2 linked regions of the Yarrowia lipolytica genome follow. Each later gene encodes a partner of the first gene's protein in a complex. Links are inferred from orthologs where the notes say so. Each region holds a gene or a part of one and is shown in the gene's direction. Other genes may lie near its edges. The genes, in order: YALI1_B14238g and YALI1_F29937g.

Region 1 (10,026 bases):
CGGTTGACCAAAGACTGGGCAAGGTCTCGTCGTCGAGTCTTGAGGGTGTTTGCTCGAATGGTGACGGGTCGGGGCACCTCGTTGGCCTCAAAGAACTCGATAGCCTCAGAAGGAGTGAACAGATTGAACAGCTTCTCGGCAAGGTACTCGTTGTAGCCGTAGTAGGAGCAGATATCCTTGAGCAGCTGTGTGGTGTAGTCGTTTCGGGACTTGCCCTCCTCGGCCAGACCCTTGAAGTCCTCCAGAACCTTGACGATTTCCAGAATTCGGGTTCGAACAACATGCAGATCCGGAGGCAGTTGGGCCTCGGCGGCAGCAGCCTCTGCGGTAGGCAGAATCTGTGCTCGGGGGTTCTGGTGCTGCTTCATGAGCTCCATCAGCTCTTCCTCCGCCATCTCTTCGTCGGACTCTTCCTCGTCGTCTAGCCGTCGAGACATAGCCTCCATGTTGGCGGCGTTGAGCTCGTCCTCATCACCCTCGTCATCAGAGAACATAGGCTTGTGGTGGGTCTCGTCATCAGAGTCGTACACCTCATCATCAGAGCCATCCTCAATATCAAACTCATCGTTGTCCATCTCCTCATCATCAGAGTCATCGAACAGAGTCATCTTCTCCCGGACAACATCGTCATCCTCCTCCTCGGGGAGCTCCTCTTCAGCCTCCTCAACAGGCAGCTGAGGGATCTCCTTCACCTTTTTAGTCTTTCGATCGGGCTTAGTTACCTTGAAATCCTTCTTGTTTTTCTTGTCTTTTCGCACGGGAGCGGGTCCCTGGGTCTGCTCCTCCAGAGTAGGTGGAACTCCCTGCTTGTTCTTGGCTCGTCGACCCATTGTGTAGTGTAGTGTGTAGTGAGTAGTGAGCTAGATGGGCTCTGATTTCTGGGTGCATGTAGTCCTAAAAAAATTCAAACTCTACTCCCAAATTTTTCGACTAAAAAAGCTAATCCTGCAGCACATCTAACGGGCCAATATCACACCTTCCTACATTTACTGAAAATACGCCTACCATGGACGTTGAAATGAAAGACGCGGCTCAGCAGCAGGAGCCCGTTTCTGCGAGACAGACACAGGTGCACCGAAAGAGCTCCAAGCCCGAGTCGCCACCCTTCATCTTCGACAACCCTCGAATTCAGCCCAACACTTACTGCATGGTCAAGTTGCCGTCGGAAAACTTCCGAGTGGTCAAGCTGATTCCCAACCAGACCATTTCTATTGGCAAATTCGGCTCGTTTCAGGTCAACGACATCCTAGGACTGCCCTACGGTTACACGTTTGAAATCCAGGAAGACAAACGACTGCGGATCATCCAGGAGGGAGTGGACGACCATGACTACGTAGTGGGAGCCAAGGGAGCGCTGCTGGAACCCGAGGAGACCAACCAGACGCTTATTGACACTTCTGAGTCACAGACTCTGTCAATGGCCGAGATTGAGGAGATGAAGAAACAGAAAACGCTGTCAGGAAAGGACATCATCGACCATGTTATCAAGGGCCACAACGAGTTCCACAAGAAGACCGCCTTCTCCAAGGAGAAATATTTGCGAAGAAAAGAGCAAAAGTACCTGCGACGGTTCACTCCCCAGCCTATGTGTTCGTCCCTGCTGCTCGATTTCTACCTCGAGAAGGATTACAAGAAGGTGCTGGACATGAGCCAAGAGATGCTGGCCCTTCTGCTGAGTATGGCTAATGTTCGACCTGGAGGCAAGTATTTGGTTGTTGATGAGACTACTGGTGTTCTTACCGCGGCGCTTATGGAGCGAATGGCTGGAGAGGGCCTTATTGTCGTTGCCCACGAGAACGAGCACCCCAACCTCGACGCTCTCAAGTACCTGTCCATGCCCACAGAGCTCCAGGATCGAATGATCAAAAGCATAAACTGGCTGCAATTCTTTGAGCCCGAGGGCGAGGAGGAGGTGCCTGAGAAGACCCCCGAACAGATTGCGTCCATGAAGCCTCGAAACCGAGGAGCATATTTCCGAAAGCGAAACCGGTGGCTGGAGCTTCAGAATGTCAACGATCTGGTGGCCAACCAGGGCTTCGACGGCCTCATTGTGGCTTCTACTTTGCATCCCGCCTCTATTGTGGACCGAACATTGCACGCAATCGGAGGCTCTCGACCTGTGGTTGTCTACTCCGAGTACAAGGAGGTGGTCACCGAGGTGTCACAGCTCATGCTCAAGGACCTGCGGGTTCTTGCTCCCTCTATCTGGGAATCTCGAGTTCGAAAGTACCAGACAATTCTCGGCCGAATGCATCCCAGCATGACCTCGAGAGGCGGAGGAGGATACCTTGTGCATGGAACCCGAGTTTTCCCTAACGAGGAGGTCAATGCCACCCAGGTGCGAAACAGAAAGAGAAAGCGAGAGGATGGCGATAAAACTAAGTCTTCGGAAACTGAGGGCAAGTCGGAGGAGTCCGTGGAACCTGATACCGAGCAATCGGCCGAGCCTGAAGCCAAACTAGAGACTGATGCTGACGCCTAATTATTTAGACGGCCATAGCTTTATATTAATGTATTATAAACTTGAAGTACGATCATCTTTTGGCCCGCTTGTGGGACTCCAGAGGGAAGGGGTCATCCTTGTTCCAAGAGAATTTCGAACCTGGATGGTGGGACCTCAGATGTGAATCACCAGGAGTAGCATACATGTTCTCTCTGAGGGAACCACCGGGGACGGCGTAGTCGTTCCAGAAACGTCCTCGCTTCTGTAATTCGGGAATAAGCAAGTCCACAATATCAATGTAAGTGCCAGGGACAATAGCAGACTGCATGTTGAAGCCGTCGATGTCTCCAACTTCAATCCACTCTTCCATACGGTCAGCAACAGTGGTAGGGGATCCAATGACAATGTCGGATCGTCCACCAAGTGCCAGTTCCTCAGCAACACGAGCCTTGTTCCACAGGGCATCGGGAGTTTTACTGGAATCGGCCCATTGAGAGATAGCTTTGCTGATGGCGACATTGTCCACCTTCCTGAGATCCTCGTCGTCGTCGTAGATTCCAAGATCCATTCCGAACCACCCTCCAAATAAAACAAGAGCTCCCTCACGATCGATGTAAGAGAAGTACTCGTCATACTTGGCCTTGGCTTCCTCGTCAGTCTCTGCTACGCACACAAACATGGAGGGAATGAACTTCAACGATTGGGGATCGCGGCCGTAGTTAGCAGCAGTTTTTCTAATGTCATCAACAGAAGATCTGACGTACTCGGGTGAAGGAGCCTGCAAGAAGATGGCCTCGGCATGCTTGGCTGCAAAGTCCCGTCCAGCTTTGGACATACCTGCCTGGTACAGGAATGGTGTTCTCTGGACTGATGGTGAGCAGATATGAGGTCCAGGAACATTGAAGTATTTTTCATTATGGTCAATGTATCGGACAAGAGTAGGCTCGGCAAAGGTGTTGGATTCAATGTCAGCCTTGATGGCATCTTCCCTCCAGGAGGACTCCCACAGCTTGTAGCAGACGTCCATGAATTCATTGGCAATGGCATATCGTTCATCATGAGGAGTTTGAAGATCATTACCATGATTCTTTGCTCCACTCTCCAGGAAAGAAGTGACAATGTTCCACCCAACTCGTCCTTTTGATATATGGTCAACAGTGGAGTACCTTCGGGCCAGAGCAAATGGAACATCATAAGTAGTGGAGGCGGTAATAGCAAACCCCAGAGACTTGGTGACCATTGTCAACGCAGGCACGAGGTAAAGGGGATCGTTGATGGGATATTGGGTGCCAGCTTTGATTCCAGGGTCCTTACTTCCCTTGTAGACGTCATAGACGCCTCCAATGTCGACGATGAACAGGGCATGGAACTTACCTCTTTCAAGGACCTGTGCAAGCTCGACCCAGTACTCAATGTCATTGAAATTCTTGCCCTTGTGTCCAGGGTGTCTCCATAGTCCCTGATTCACATTAGTAGGCGCGTTGGCGGTCAGTGCGTTCAAGATGAGCTTCTTCTTCATCTTAGGATGCTCTGGTACTCGTTCGGGAATGGGAACTTTCCCATTCTCAACGCCTTTCCAGGTAGCGATATCCATTTCCAATGACTTTCGGATGTGCCTGTTGTTGATTTGTTGAGAGGTGGTGACTCAAGCAGGAGAGTCATGCGAGTCATTTTCGGTTATTTGAGTCATTTGGACATTGAGTTGTGCATGTCAGAAGTGGACTGCTTGAGACATGGGCGCAGGAGTGTTTTTTTATTGTGTCTTCATTCTTGTAAATGGAGCAGTACGGTACGAGCAGTTATATAATGGTTGTCTTGATAATGTTTTGTTTTGTTTGCCTTCTTTCAAGGTGAAAAAGTACGGTACTACTGAACGATATCTTATCTTTACACTACTACTTCTTGATACACTATGCGGAAGGAGGAAATGACGTATGCAAGACATTCATTCCCTCCTTCCACTATGTACTCCTCCCGAAACTAATTGAGCAGCTTGGTTCCAAGAGACACTCACAACTACAAGTACAACGATACCCATATTTGTGATGGACAACACCATCACAGCACGAATACATTAATCTCACATATATTGTTTATAAACAGTTAGAGCTACGATAAAGCAACGAGAGCCAGAATTCCAGCAAGTAGTGCGCCGACCGAGATGACCAACTTTGAGCCTGAGTTGGCCTGGGCAACTGGCTTGGGCTCAGCAGATCCTCCGTTTGAAGGCTTATCAGCAGCGCCGGTGTTGGTGGGCTTGTTGGATGAGTCGTTTGATGATCCGGGCTTGTTTGGAGAGCTATCGTTATCAGACTTCTTAGGGGTTTCAGACTTCTTAGGGGTTTCAGAGTTGTCAGTCTTGTCAGTTTTCTTGGTCTTGTCAGTTTTCTCAGTCTTGTCAGTTTTCTCAGTCTTGTCAGTTTTCTCAGTCTTGTCAGTCATATCAGAAGAACCAGACTCATGGGTCTTATCGGCCTTCTCAGCCTCTTCTGTCTCCTCTGTCTTCCCGGTTTTGTCTGTCTTCTCAGTCTTCGTTGTCTTGTCAGATTCGCCCGCCTTGTCAGACTTGTCCGCCTTGTCAGATTTGTCCGCCTTGTCAGGCTTGGAAGACTTCTCGTCCTGTGAAGCGTCAGTGGTCTCACGAGCACAAGGAACGGTGATTTCCACGGTCTTCCCCTCGCACTTAGGACAAACAGTCTTGATAACAGTGGAAGGGGCGTTCTTGGGAACAACTGTAACGATTGTCAGAGTGGGTGTTATGCACCGTCCCTCGGTGTCACATTGAGTCACGGTCAATGTGAGGCTAGAGTTAACAAGAGCGGTAGCAGGACTCTCTACACTGCTGTTGGTATTATTAGTCACTGTGGGAGTAGGCGGCTCAGAGGACCCAAAAACAGTGCCGTTCGTAACACCAGCAGCACTAGAGATGGACGCTGAAGAAGGTGCAGAGGTGGGAGCGACAGTCTCCGGAGTACCGGAAGAGGAGACACCAGAGGTCTGAGGGCTAGTATCGTCAGTGTTAGCGCTTGCAGAGACAGGTGTGTCAGAAGATACAGAAGCCTCCCCGGAAGCCAGACCAGAGGCACTAGACAGGGGGGACTCGGCAGTAATAGGTTCTTCGGAGGCAAGTCCAGATGCAACGGGATCTTCAGACTTGACAGTAGTAACGGGCTTAGACGACCCAATGGGAGTAATGGGCTCTTCGGGGGCAAGTCCCGATGCAACGTTGTCTTCAGACTTGGTAGTCGTAATGGGTGTAGGGGACTCGACAGGAGTAACATCCTTAGAGGACACCACGGGGGCATTAGACTCGCTGGTCGACGCGGGCACAACGGGCTCACTGGTCGAAACTGGGACTTCAGACTCGATGGTCGGAGTAGAAACAACAAGTTCGCTGCTCGGAGTAGAAACAGCAGGCTCGCTGCTCGAAGTAGAAACAGCAGGCTCGCTGGTTGAAGCAGGAACAACAGGATCCTCGGTCTTGTATGGGTCGCAAACAGATCCATCAGTAAGCTGGAGCGTACAGATCAAACCAGTGACAGCAAAGAGTCCATCATCAATGGCCTTGGATGCGGCGGGGTTGGTTGAGATAGAAAGCACCGCAGCCTTCAGGATGTTCCAACCGTCGGCCGACTTCGCTAGCGTAATACTGGCCTGGTTTACTGCTTCGTGGTAATCGTAATGCGGCAGATACTCTGAGAGAAGTGAAGTAGCAGAGGTGAAGTCGGGGCTTTGCTCATATTTTTCGAGGGCAGCAATAACACTGCTGATCCAGTCAGGGAACTTCTGTTCAAATGTGGGAGAAAGAAGAATATCAACGGCATTGTCGAACAGAGGAAGCAGGTCATCATTCATGATGAGAGGAACAAATTCATTAATTTCCGAGCTTGCCTGTGCCTCGGGGATATCTTGGTGTCGACCATTAATCACACCCGAAATAATGGCATCCTTGATGGGATTGATCAGGGCACCCCATCTGAGGACGTAGGCAGTTGCCAGGGTAGAGGAGGCGACCGAGAAAATGGCAATTGATGATAGCTTCATTGTTGAACGAGCGTGGCAGTCTGCCTCCCTTCCGGGCACACTCGATACTCTTATATATTACCGTATGATGTAAACCGTGTGATGTAAACATTGACATTCATTATGATCTAGTGGCTAGCTAGTGGCTGGTCACAGAAATGTAGGAGCGGCATGTTGCAGATAAAGAACGAGTACCCCTAATGATGTATCGCTTTTTAAAAGTCGCTACTGGCGGTGAGGGTTCGCAAAAGATAATGAAGTTGTGAAAGCCTTCTCTACGCTTAATCTACAAGGCTTTGTAAATCATGGGGCCAACTTGGTTCACGGCGACATTTGAATAACAACCGATCACTCTCTTTAACAGTCTGGAGCCGTTCGGACAGATTTATTGGAGTATGAGTGAGTCCAAACATACCCCACAGCCTTTTTTAGTGCCTCCAGAAAAGCTTTGTCCTCCCTTGTACGTAGATGGTGCAAAGAGGACTCTGTTATTTACGTACTGTCGGCTACTATCACCGACTCGAGGAGGCCTAAGCTTCCGACGAAAATGGCCACTACGGAGGTCAAGATATCGAATAACAACCAGGCCGTCCATAGGTTGAAAGGAAACATCTTTAGATAAATATTCCCCGGTGATCTGGTGAAGAGAATCCTCATGTTGTATGTGTGCATCCACATTACATACCAGTACAAGTAATAGATATAAAAGAGCATTCTTTATCAACAGCTATTGCAATAACAAGTCGCCCCGCTCTTCCCATTGAAAATACAATGGTGGGCAGACAAAGGCTTTCCGGTGGTGCGATTTCTCAATATACTGTACTGTAACATATACGGGACCTGATGGTTCACTCATGTATCCATCTATCTACTGTAATCTTTGTAGAAGGTGTTTAGATCCTAGGTCCACAATATGCCGATTGTGGGCGCAGTAAAGAACTGGGCTATCGGACTGTACTTGTGGAACCCATCTTTCAGTACTGTAGCTATAATAGTGCCTCTCCTTCAAGAATTAATAGATGCTGAGAGACAAACAGTGGATACTCGGGAATGTAGCTACCTCGTTGAGCTAGGCTACTTGTAGTCAGGGAATGTTGGCCCTATGCTTTGTTGAGCCAACGAGTGTTTTACTGTGCTGAAAAGCAGCTAAAAATCGAACTACGACAATACAATGGCCGAGGTCTGCTTTCGGGGTCCGATACGCGAAATAAATGCGTTAGAGCGCGTACAGCGCGAGGGGCACATAAGCGAGATGGAGTCTTGCGTCATGGTACCCTACAAGTAGGCACGTTGTCTTTGTCTGCATTTTGGTTCTCAACACACCAGAGCGCGCGTGACGATAGCCCCGCGTTTTTTCTTGTCATAGGATACGGTGACACAACATAACGATATATTGTATCTGTAAACACAGCACAAGTAAACAGTGGAATGGTGAACATAAGTCGATTTTTCGACAAATACTACAGTATGTACTTGTACGTTGCGTCCCAAACTTCAGATAGGTTGAAACCTTATTCCTGATCACATCACTTGATAAGTACTTGTAAACATACGGTTCCCATATTGGTGTCACAATTGAGACCGCACATGAACAGCAAAGTGTCGACAATACTGCCGCCCGAGATCCTTCTGATTGTTCTTGAACACGTACCCCTGAAAGATGTTGCGAATTTCGCCGCCGTTTGCCACACATTTCGTCGAGTGGCAGACTCCTATCTAAATACCTCCGATGCCCTCTCCTTATACCCATGGCTCACAGTTCCAACGAACAGCACATTACTTTCGCTAGTGAGGTATATTACCGACCCGGAGTTACCCCGCCAGCGCAAAAGGTTGAAAGCAGCCGAGCTCCTCGCAGATCAGCTTAGACAGGACATGAGGAGTGATACCAATATCCATGGCCATGACGTCACCAGAGTGGGCGATTATGAGGTTCATAAGTTTGAGGACGAGTCCTTCAAATTACCGCTACTGGTGGATGGGTTCCTTCACATCTACTGGCCTGGAGAAGTGTGTAAGACCAAGGATGGCTCTTGGGTAGTTCAAATACATATAAAGAAAGTGCAGTGGGATGGGCTCATCCCTGCAAGCACCCTTAACTTGAACACGAACAACAAGAGAGTCATCAGAGGCGAATCAATACTTATTCACACTCGAACTGCCACCCAAATACCATGTGGTACGATCTTCTGCTATGAGACCCTCATGCAATGCAGCACAGAAAGCGAGCACATCGTTTTCTTTGTCACGGACCTAGGCGGGCCAGAAGATCGCGTGAATGAACTGTTCTACGGGGATTTCCAAACACGCAAGATTGTCAAACTATGTCAGACAAAGAGCCACGCCATCCATTGTCCTAGTCGTCGTGGGGGACGTCGTTTCTTGCTTAGAAACCGGCACATCTGGATGCTAGCTTGCGATCCAGGGGGAGAGCTCCGAGTTTCGCAACTAGACCTTTTCAAGACGGAGAGCTGGATTTTTACTGAAGGCCGGATCGGTATGGGATACCCCTTCTCCCCGTGAGCGCGATGGAGGTTTCCACCACATCTGTCATTCATACCTCAGGTAACAACATGTCACAAATTACAATAACGGACTTCTCCCTCCCGGGCTCCGCTAATTGGACTCACACTACAAGTACAGTACTATCTCTTCATGAAAGACGTCCGCTGATTAGACATGCACAAGTGTCGTCGGGAGGCCTAACGCTAACACCATGTGAATCCCGACCATAATGGTGAAAGGGGTTCCACTTGTGGCTCCGCAGTATGTAAATAACGGGATCTACAAATAATTAATTGTATGATGTCGAAGAAAAACACCAGTCGGCTTCTTGCTTGTTCAATATGATGCCCGTAAACTATGAGAACTTGTAGTCTGATAGCCTTGACACCAGCCTGATGAGATATCTTCGTATTTTCATCGGAACAGCAGCATGGTCACAGGTTGTCTACAACTACAAGTAGATAGACATTTAATAAAAAAAAAAAAAAGTATTACTGCTGTAACGAGGGAGTATTCGTCATTTGAATGTCAGGCTAATACAGAAACCGAAAAATTTTGAGCTGTAGGGGAATTGAACCCCTGGCACCTGCTTACAACTGAATGGAAGGCAGATATGTTACCACTACACCAACAGCCCTGCTCACGCTTACTCAAAAAACTAAACTTTCAATTTGTCCAATAGTGACCAAAGTCACGTGATGCAAAAAATAATGCAAAAATCTATCATCTTGGGAATTTTGGACTGACATTCTGGGTGAGTATGGGAGGAAAAAGGAAAGAAAAAGATACTATTAGAAGTCTATACGTCCTTCAATTACATCCTATGGAACCCCTTTCAATTCATTTTCTGTGTAGCATGTATCGGTGCTCTCATTTCGACCTCCTTCACGAAATGTTCAAGGATAAACTTCCAGACGCACTAACAATTATCTTCATCACTTCACAAAACATGGAAGAATCGATATCGTTGGAGGAGACAAACAGACACCGAATCTCTTTGGGACTTAAGCCCATCCCGATCCCTGGTGCTCCTATCAAGCGACAGCCTGCCCCTG
Region 2 (9,812 bases), on another chromosome or scaffold:
ACCTACAGTACATACGATATATTACAAGAAAATTCAGTGCAATTTAGGTGCATATTTCATGGAGTCCAGATCAGTTTGTTGTTTCAACTCGTTTGATACAGGCAGACATTACACAGTCAGAATGGAACGCTACATATTACAAGCACCTACATACTGTACATACTGTACTTGTAGTGGTACTTGTGCGAATGGAACACATGACACAGAAACGTCGTGGAATGGCGAAGGGGTTCACTTTTACAAGTACATACTCGTATACCGCTACAAGTAAACAATTGGTACATTGTACTTGTACTACAAGTAGTATCGGTGCTGTACCATGAGTATGTACTCGTACGATACACCACTCAACATCAGTCTCATGCATACTGCTGGTAATCCAGAGCAACCCGACGACCCCGCCAAACAAACCGCAAGTAACTTCGGGAGTTTTAGGTCAACCCGGATACACGGGTAGCGGTACTTCTACGGTGTTTTTTTGATACATGTGGCTGGAGTTTCTCATCTGTCTTGTGTCAAGTCAGACACCCAAACAGCGGTTGCCATGGTTACGGTGAACGACCGAGCTACGCTCCCCACTATTAGCCTAGTTCAGAATTACTGTTACTTGTAGTGGGTGTTTCATATTTCCACCGACGAGCTCACAAGACAGTTACTGTATGAGGTTTGTAACGCATACAACCTATCGGCGTTAACAATCTCTAGTCAGTCAGATGGCCCCCAAACCACGATATCTTACCAGGGGCCTGGCCTGAACTTTATCATCGTACAAGTACGGTACGAGTACACAAATGCCATAATTAGTTCGCTGATTCCATAATCACATCATTGGTGTCACATCATCTTTATGGCTTCTCGTACATTTCCAAAATCTCCACTCGACGATCAAAACAAGTTGTTATTGTTTACCCATCTCTGTTCCTTACTTCCATTGCGTTTAACGCTTTGCTTCACCAACCTTATGTCGCCATTTCTCTGCTGAAGAACCTTAAACACCAACTTATATCACGACGCGTTCCGTATATTCATCGACCTCATCGTCGACTGGCACCTCTGCATCTGGTAATGGAGAAGGAACAGAAGATTCTGGAGGTTCTCAAGGAAATGGCGCGGCTGCTGGATGTGCCGCTGGATGACGAGGGTCTCCGAATATGCTACGAAATGTGCAAGGACGGATCGGTGGAGCCTGCTGCTTTGGCCGTGAGTACAAGATAAATGATTTTTATTTTTATTTTTTAGCATGGGATGTTTACTTATAAGAGGAAATGGCTAACACAGGAGATTTTCATTCAGTATAAAAAGCAGTTTCGCTGATCGGGTGTGTCTGGACATGCTCAGAGCGCGAATGTATTTATTTTAATTTATTCATGGACAAATAACGGGCTACGTGAGGTCATTAATAACTTTTGGTAACTGTCAGGGGCTCCAGATTTCTGCTGTACAGTATATACTGAAATATATCCCATTGTAAAAGTGCAGTATGTACTGCATACACACCAGTATGTACAATAGGCAGTATCGAACAAGTACTTGCAATACCGTCTACTGGAATCGTATTAATTATCATGTAGCGACAGTATGTCTACCATAACTTCAACGATCAATCAAATATAATAGTTTTCATTCTATACCTCTAACTAGCCTGAGCACTGCAGCACAAACCCACAGATACTCTCATCAAACATCCTCTAATGTCATAGGTCTGTATGTATAGTCCTTCAAATATGCAACTTCTCCACCACGTAACTAGCATCCAACTTGTCATCTCCCTTCTCAATGTACTGCTCTCGCATTGCCACTCGCTCCTGAGCCATCATTCGAAGTTTGAGGGCGTCCACCATAGCAACGGTTTGGGCAGACTCGGTCTGGGTCTGTAGCTCGCTCTTGAGCGACTTCTTTAGCTCCTGAATGGTCTCTAGGTTCCATCCTAGCAGTCCTCCAGCATCAATCACACAGGGAATCAGAGCCCAGCCAGCGTCCATCTTCTGCAGTCGCTCCACCAGACCGTTGAGGTTGGAGATCTCCTTTCGGATGGTCTTGGTAACCTCGGTGGGTCGGAACTCCTCCAGCAGTCGAACGACGGCATCGTTGACAATCTCGTCAGACACAGAAGAGGCCAGAGCCTTGACCAGGGTGGAGCAAGGGAGGGCAGGGGCGTTCACCAGAGCCTGACGCTGCAGGAAAGGGTGAGACTCAAATGTGTCCAACAGGTTGGGGAATCGGTTCGTGGGGAAAAGAGAGTGTGTGAGAAGGTAGGTGAGAGCCTTGACGGGAGGATCGGCCTTAAGAACAGGCTCAGAGTCCTCATAGTTGTCGAACAACAGGGAACAAATCTGGTCCATCAGGAAGTTATCAATTTGGGCATCATCTCGCTCCTCGTACACGGTGAAAGCCAGGTCGGGATTTTGCTTGAGCCACTTCTTGTGCTTCATGTATTTGAGCAGAGCAGAATCGAATGCAGCACCTTGCGAGGCCTTAAGGGTCTCCATCAGAGCCTGAGATTGCTTCTGAGACTTCTTAGCAGCCTTGACCACCACATCATAGCCAGATAGGTTGGCAAAGTCACTCTCTAATCGGTAAGTCTTGGCCATGTGGATGTTGGACATTCTCCAGTCGTGCTGTCGCTGCTGTTCTCGGGTGGCAGAAGTCTGCAAACCCTGTCCTCGAGCAACAGAGTCGAGCAGAGAAGAGCCTGAAGAGAGATCGACAGTGACACCGGAGACACAGAAGCCACCCTTCTGGGGCTGCACACCAAGAACAGTCTGGGTATCGGGATAGAAGGACAGCAGAGAGAGCTGGGACGCATCAACCTCGGTTACAATAGACTCGTAGTATGTATCGACGAGTGTGAGCTTGTCGTTGGAAGACAGCAGTGTAGTTCGAGAGTCAATTGCCAGAATTGAAGAATTACCAGACACACCCTCAGGTCGCTCAATCTGGGTGGTCACCTTGAGAGAGGGGAGGGCAAAGCTGTAGAGAGTGGTGTTTGAGAAGCACGATAGGACATTGTCGACGGCAGAGAACGCAGGCTTAGAGTCGGTAGCGATATCCTTGAGAACCTTGTCAGCAAGAACGACGCATCCAGACGACTTGAGACCCAGCAGAACGGCTCGGTACGAGTCTCGGGAGCCGAGAACAAGCACAACAAGACCGTCACTGAACTCGTCAGTACGGCTATCGGGCATGAACAGAGAGTACTCAGTGATCTGCTTGGCTCCAGCATCAAACAGGGTGGGGATCTTGTCTCCGGAGCCAGCCTGACCAAACAGAGACACTGGAGCGACCTTAACGTGGCCAGACTCGGTCACCAGGTAAATTCTAGAATCATCGGAGCTGGTCCCAACAGCCACCGCAGCCTCTGACAGAGTCAGAGCGCTCTTGTTTCCGTCCTCGGAGTCAACGCATTGCTCGACACGCTCGACAAAAAACTTTTTCCGGTCCCGGATCGAGACGTAGACAACACCAGTCTTCGTGCTAGGAGCATACTGGGTGATGGCGCACACGGCCTGGGTCAAGGACAGGAAGTGAGTCCACACAGATCGAGGGCTTGGGGTGAGTTCGTAGAGAGCAGCCTGGGAGTGGCTAATTCCCAGCAGATACTGGGATCCTGCGCTTCGGCCGGGCACAGCCACCTTGTCGGCCACGGTCAGCGAGCTTTGGGGCAGGTCGCACAGGACAAACGGTTCGGTTAGAGGAGGCATGTCGTGTGATGGTGTGTTGGTGTGTGTGATTTGCAAGATGCAAATAAAATAATTTCTTGTGCATGAACTCTAATAGATTTTTGTGAACCTCGAAACTGCGATTGAGAGGTGGTACAGTAGGTGGTTCAAGTAGCTGGCACTGTGCCCGGAATGTGAGAGAATTTGTTGACAATTTGGAGTTGTTAGAGAATATTCTATAGATTCCTAAATCTGTGTCCTTATTTATCTGCTGCCCCGTTAAAAATCTTTATGTGCGTCTGTCGTTCGCTGATGGTTCCTGGTGGTGGTGAATGGCGTTAGAATAACTTCATCCATTCATTAGCTACAATTTGATACCCCATGGGTAGCGAATATCTGGCAATCCCACTTAATCACTCTGTAGAGACAGAACCTCCTTCGACTCAGAGCTACTGTACATTATCAACAGTTTGAGTTGGGAGGTTTGTACGAGTTGTCCTGATGCTGTGAGGTGGAACAGTTGATAAGACGCAATAACACAGTGGATGTACTATAAAGTCACTCACGTATAGCTGAAACTTTTTCCTAAGTACTCTGAAAGTATCAATAATTCCTTCCCATCCCAATATCGATCCTTTTCTTCAGTTTTTGCATGATTCTATCGCTTCAATCGTCACTCATCAATTCACCTTTGCCATGCAGGTTAACTCTAAAAGTGAAAATTCCAAAAAATATTTTGAACTTTTCCACAATCACACACAATGTTTTCGGCATACAAGGACACGATCGAGGATGGAGATCTGGTACTCGGGTGGATGACCCGTACCGCCATCAAGCCCATTGTGGTTGAAAAGAAGGAAGGGCTCTTCAACACCCGATACGGAGCCTTCCCTCACCGCAACATGGACAAGTATGGAGCTCAGCTTGGAAGCATGTCGAAGCAGGGCTTCATTCATCTGATTCACCCTACTCCCGAGCTATGGACTCTCTCGTTGCCCCACCGTACCCAGATTGTGTACACCACCGACTCATCGTACATTGTTCAGCGTCTCAAGATTCGACCTGGATCGACTGTGATTGAGTCTGGCACTGGTTCTGGTTCCTTCACACACGCTATCAGTCGATCTGCAGGCCTCGCCGGCAAGGTTTACTCGTACGAGTTTCATGAGGAGCGATACAATCTGGCCAAGCAGGAGTTTGAGCGTCATCAGCTGACCAACGTGATCCCCACGCATCGGGATGTGTGCAACGACGGCTTTGACATTGAGAACATCGACGTCAATGCCACTGCCGTTTTCCTCGACCTTCCTGCCCCTTGGACCGCTATTCCCCATCTCGAGCGAGTTATTGACCGATCAGTTGTCTCTCGAGTGTGCTGTTTCTCGCCTTGCTTCGAGCAGGTTGTCAAGGCAGTCCAGGCTCTGCAAGAAGCCGGCTGGGTCGATATTGAGATGGTAGAGGTTGCTGCTAAGCGATGGGAGTCACGACTGGAGATGAAGCGGTCTCTGGACGAGGCTATCACTCGCCTTAGAGACGTCAAAGCCCGACGAGAGACCGGTCTGGCTAAGAGAAATGCTCGAATCAAGGTCGAAACTGAAACTGGAGTGGAGGAGGAAGAGTCGGATGAGCGAGATGCCAAGCGGTCCAAGACCGAGTCGGGTCACAGAGGATACAACCCCTGGGGTAAGGGCCAGAAGATCAAGGAGGGAGATGAGAGCTTTGAATGGACCGAGGTGTCCAAGTGTGAGCAGGAGATCAAGTCGCATACTTCGTACCTGCTGTTCGCCAGCAGGTTGCCAAAGCTGGGCGAAGAGGTATTCGACAAGGACATGTGTGTTCGACCATACAGCGAGCGATGCCCTGAGGCTTCCACTGAGGGTGCTGAGGCTTCCACTGAGGCCACTGAGGCCCCTGCCAGGACTGAAGCATAGGAGATCGGGCGAATGAGGATAGTTAGGATACATAGGACGGTTAATATTATTAGAATAAGTACATACATGTTCACATTGTAGCCAAAATGCATCTGGTCCTGTCAGGAAGTCACAATTTGAAAGACAAACCTGTGCTATCGCACATGTAGAATCATTCAAAACGAAATCTATTCCATCACATATATACAGTTAGCCACCCCGGCCTGGAGGAAAGTACTTGCTAAGAAATTTGACCCACGGGATCAGGAACTTGAAGTAGCTGGCCATGATCTGGGCGCCGTCTTTTTCCATCACCACTGTAGTCTCCAGCTGGATTTTAATCACGAAAGATCTCAACTTAAGTAATCCAGCAGCGGGAGACTCAGCGTCATAGCCCTTGGGAACGTATTTGTACATGTTCTCAGTCACATTCATTTCCAGAAACTCCTTCATGAGACCTTCTGCATCATCGAATCTGCTTTTGAATACCAGACCAGCAGACTTCTTTTGCACCTTTCGAAGGATCTTAGCAATACATTCGCCCTCAGTTTCCTGAATTTCATCCTTGAGTCCTTTCAACGTCTTAGGACCGACATCAGCATCTCCCATGGCGCTGTATCCAGCCCCCACGACCACATGAGAGGGCCAGACGACAAGGAAGTATTTTGGGAATATACCTTTGCATCCGGTAGGACTGAATCCACCCATCCAACGAGGCTTGTAGGGCAGTCCGTTTGAGAATCGCATGTCTCTATGGATTCGAAACTGCAGCTTGATGAGAGGAATCTCAGCAGGCACATGTTCGGGGTGGTTCTTGTGGCACAAAGCTGCCAAGGAAAGGATAAAAGTGTCCCAGTTTTGTTTGGCCTTTTTGAACTCGGCATCATGTGATTTGAACCACTCTCGATTATTGTTCTTTTCTAGGACTTGAATGAAGGACAGCGAGTTAGGGTGTAGAGCCATGTTGGAGTAAGGTATATGGGAAGTGGGTATATCAGTCTCTTCTTCATCATCAGAATCGGCAAAGTACTTGCTTTTCTTAGTTGCTGGCTCAGAAATATCCTCGTTACTCTTCTCTGGTTCACTATCCTCCATGTACTCGTCAGCACTATTATCTGGAGATGACTCACCAGAAGGGATTTCCTCGGAGTCAGGTTCCGAATCATCCTCTGGGATACTTTCATTGGTGGCAGGTTCGTTGCCGTTCTCGTCTTGTGACTGTTCTTCGGATTTTTCACCCTTGTCGACCTCATCCTCGATCTTGGGTGTAATCTGACCATTCTTCAGATCGACGTGATTATTTCGATCCACACTCCTTCTAGTGGCTCGAGTTCTTTTCGCACCATCTGACTTCTGCCCGGAAGCCTGTCCCTTCCGTCCTTGCGGCGCCATAATGTGTGATACACGTAGGAGGAGGTGTGTGAAGAGACGATCTAAATTTGATCCGGCTAAGGGCTGCAGACGAGGTTAACTAAAGGCAGCACTAAGAGGGTGGAGAGAAAACATTGCAACAAGCAGGAAAAATCAAAATCTAAATCGTGTGTTATGTTGTTTCTTCTGGAACGATTCTCGCAAAATCACTCTTTGCCACAAACTGCTCACTGCAACTCACTTATATCCCCCCAATAACTACACCGCCACAAACGCCACACAGGGTCTCAATCCTTCCTCTCGCTCATCGCTTGCCAAACATGATAGCTGCACAGTTGGAAGTTTCTCGTCTTGGGAGTTTATGAACACTTTTAAGGCGAGGCGGTTGTAAACGAGACCTCTTCTACTGCACGCAATGTAGGAGCAAGAGAGAAAAAAAACCAACGTGCGGTTCCCCACTGACTAGCAATGAAGGTGAGACTTTTCTGTGTCTCATTAGGATACCTACAAAATGCATTAACTAGCCTCTTTAGAAACCGCCCAAATCCGAACCCAAAATTCTAATTCTCTCCCCACGCCTTAGCAATCTGCTCTCTCGGCTCTTATATTTAAAGCTTTGATCCACCTCCCAGAAACGAGACATTAACCACCCCTCACACAACACAATGCTTCTGCTCCGTTCACTGCGAGTGACCCCATTGGGCGTCGCTAAGCCCCGCTCAATTGCTGCATTCTCCTCGTTCCAGACTGCTGCTCCTAGCACCGTCTCTCAGACTGCCCGAGCTTTCTCTCGACAGACCACCTCCCGTGTCGCCAACAAGAAGGTCAATGTCATGGCCCAGCTCAACAAGTTCTCCCGACAGTTCTCGTCCGGACGAACCGCCAGACAGGTGAAGATGAACAACAAGGAAAACCCCAACCTGAAACAGAAGTACTCTCAGCATGGACCCTTCTCCATTGCCTGGAACGTGACTCCTCCCTGGATCAAGTTCTTCGGCCTCGCTCTCTTCTTCTTCAACTGTGCCCTGTTCATTACCATGCCCATTCTGTTCATCATTGTACCTCCCTTCCTTCTGCTCATGCTGTGGTTCCGTTCTCGAATCGCATCTTCTCAGATTGGTGTCATGAACCAGCGATGGGTCGGCATGGCCCAGCAGTCTCTCGTCTACAAGACCAAGGGTCCCCTTGATCTGCAGAAACTCAACCGAGTGTGCGTGAACCGAATTCACCAGGCTATCAACGATGATGAGCGAGATATCAATTCTATCCTTAAGGTAGACCCCTTTGCCATGTCTCGAAACGGCCAGTCTCTGACCCTTGATCCTACTGGACGAATCTCCCAGTCTTCCATGCTCTATCCCCGACAGACTAAGATTGATACTGAGAACCCCTTTGACAACCTGCCCGGCCGAGAGGAGATGATTGCCTTCGAGGAGCTGCTGCTCGATAAGTCCATTGAGGGCAAGCCCAAGCAGCAGGTTATTGGTGTTGTTGATGTTGTTCTGACCCACGATGCATCCTTCGATCCCTTTGCCTCCCACTACACTGAAGCTGACAACGAGTTCCACTACCGACTCGAGGTTCGACCCGCTAAGACTCTCTTCCCCGAGTCCAGTGACGTTGTTATTCTAAGCGCCCCTGCCCCCAAGAACACGGAGATGGAGGACGTCACTGACCACATCATCGACGTTGATCCCGTCAGCAAGGAACACTTCGGCGACGACGACAAGAAGGCAAAGAAGGCCTAAACTAGCCATTGGCGCTCCATATCTATTGACTAGACGCTGCATTTGCCTTGCAGTCACATATAAACATATTATTCTGACTTTATACAATATTGATTTCTAGAACAAATCTACGGAACTTGAAGAACGAGAGTTCTCATAGTAAGAGTGTAGCTACAAGTTCATGTACTTGTACCCTGTGGTTTTGAAGCACGCGTTCTTGTCTTTGAATATCATACCATGGCAAACTAAATACGGCCCCCAGCAGCCACGGAATTTGTTGGGGTCGTTGGGACGCCAAACTGAGGTTTCACTTGCTCAGTATCGAGTCCCTATTTCCAGTTCATTCAGACAGCCCATTGAGAGATCTGTCAGACATCCACGTTGTCGGCATGGAACGTGTTAATGCATGGTTGAACACAATACAAGGACAGTACTTACATACAGTACATACAGTAGTTATATAATCTGCGGAAAAATCCCAGCTAAACTCTGCTTTTACTCATAGTAAGCCAATACACTCATTCTATTTCATACATTTTCCTTCTAATGCTATCCCACTGCAGTCTAAGCCGACCGCAACACCTTAAACAAAAACAGCCCCGGGGCTGTCTAGATGGTAACTCCCTGGTTGAGAACCTGGGAAGACCGGAAGGTCAGCCCCTTAGTCTTCTCGATGACCTGTTGGTAGACCGACACCGAAGGGTGGTTGAGGATGACGGTGGAGTCGCTCTCGTCAATCTTGGCGTCCATTCGAGAGTCCTTGATGAGGTTGGCAATCCACTTCTCGCCCTGCTCCTGGGACAGGTTGAGGGTCTGAGACAGCTGAGCAATGTCAACTCGCTGGTGAACTCGGCAGTAGACCTGGGACATAAGTTTTCGGGCAGACTCGAGGAAGGCGTCAGCGGAGTCAGCGAGGAAGAAGTCCTGCTTCAGCACCTTCTCACAGTCAGCAAGCTGGTTCTGGGCATCCTCAAAGGAGTAGTCAATGTACAGAGACTTGACGAATCGGGTAAGGGGGTCCTGGTACTCGTACTCCTCCTGTCCAACGACTCGGACGAGGTCCTTGAGTCGCTTCTGGAAGACAGAAGCAGTGTGAGGATGGCCGCCGGCAATCACAGCAACCACCAGGTACCGCAGAATCCAAG

What was found.
Region 2: the proteins of YALI1_B14238g (region 1) and YALI1_F29937g are in contact, whole or in part, in a crystal structure (PDB 5ERG), measured with the Saccharomyces cerevisiae proteins. The link is inferred for Yarrowia lipolytica from reciprocal best matches to the Saccharomyces cerevisiae genes GCD10 and GCD14. Residues at the interface, in NP_014337.3 of Saccharomyces cerevisiae: Met1, Leu4, Thr5, Phe9, Arg16, Asn44, Asp45, Ile46, Ile47, Gly48, Tyr49, Pro50, Phe51, Gly52, Leu53, Leu85, Glu194, Tyr195, Ser197, Ser198, Ser199, Gln219, Glu220, Gly223, Met224, Leu226, Asn227, Leu228, Asn230, Ile231; in NP_012410.1 of Saccharomyces cerevisiae: Phe6, Ser7, Gly8, Tyr9, Lys10, Asp11, Trp22, Arg25, Pro55, Tyr56, Gly57, Ser58, Gln59, Ala61, His74, Leu76, Gln77, Thr79, Pro80, Glu81, Leu82, Leu85, Thr96, Pro97, Ser100, Tyr101, Met103, Gln104, Arg105, Asn107.

What each region holds. Positions count from the first base shown.
Region 1 is NC_090771.1:1,422,795-1,432,820, forward strand, and holds YALI1_B14238g (uncharacterized protein), read left to right. Parts: upstream 1-1,006; coding exon 1,007-2,482; downstream 2,483-10,026. Other genes in the region: YALI1_B14236g (uncharacterized protein), read right to left, coding at 1-830; YALI1_B14268g (uncharacterized protein), read right to left, coding at 2,535-4,037; YALI1_B14292g (uncharacterized protein), read right to left, coding at 4,553-6,487; YALI1_B14308g (uncharacterized protein), read left to right, coding at 8,054-8,989; YALI1_B14325g (uncharacterized protein), read left to right, coding at 9,732-10,026. UniProt on the Saccharomyces cerevisiae protein: Substrate-binding subunit of tRNA (adenine-N(1)-)-methyltransferase, which catalyzes the formation of N(1)-methyladenine at position 58 (m1A58) in initiator methionyl-tRNA.
Region 2 is NC_090775.1:2,988,348-2,998,159, reverse strand, and holds YALI1_F29937g (uncharacterized protein), read left to right. Parts: upstream 1-4,420; coding exon 4,421-5,590; downstream 5,591-9,812. Other genes in the region: YALI1_F29944g (uncharacterized protein), read right to left, coding at 1,719-3,701; YALI1_F29911g (uncharacterized protein), read right to left, coding at 5,780-6,961; YALI1_F29905g (uncharacterized protein), read left to right, coding at 7,606-8,688; YALI1_F29876g (uncharacterized protein), read right to left, coding at 9,277-9,812. UniProt on the Saccharomyces cerevisiae protein: Catalytic subunit of tRNA (adenine-N(1)-)-methyltransferase, which catalyzes the formation of N(1)-methyladenine at position 58 (m1A58) in initiator methionyl-tRNA.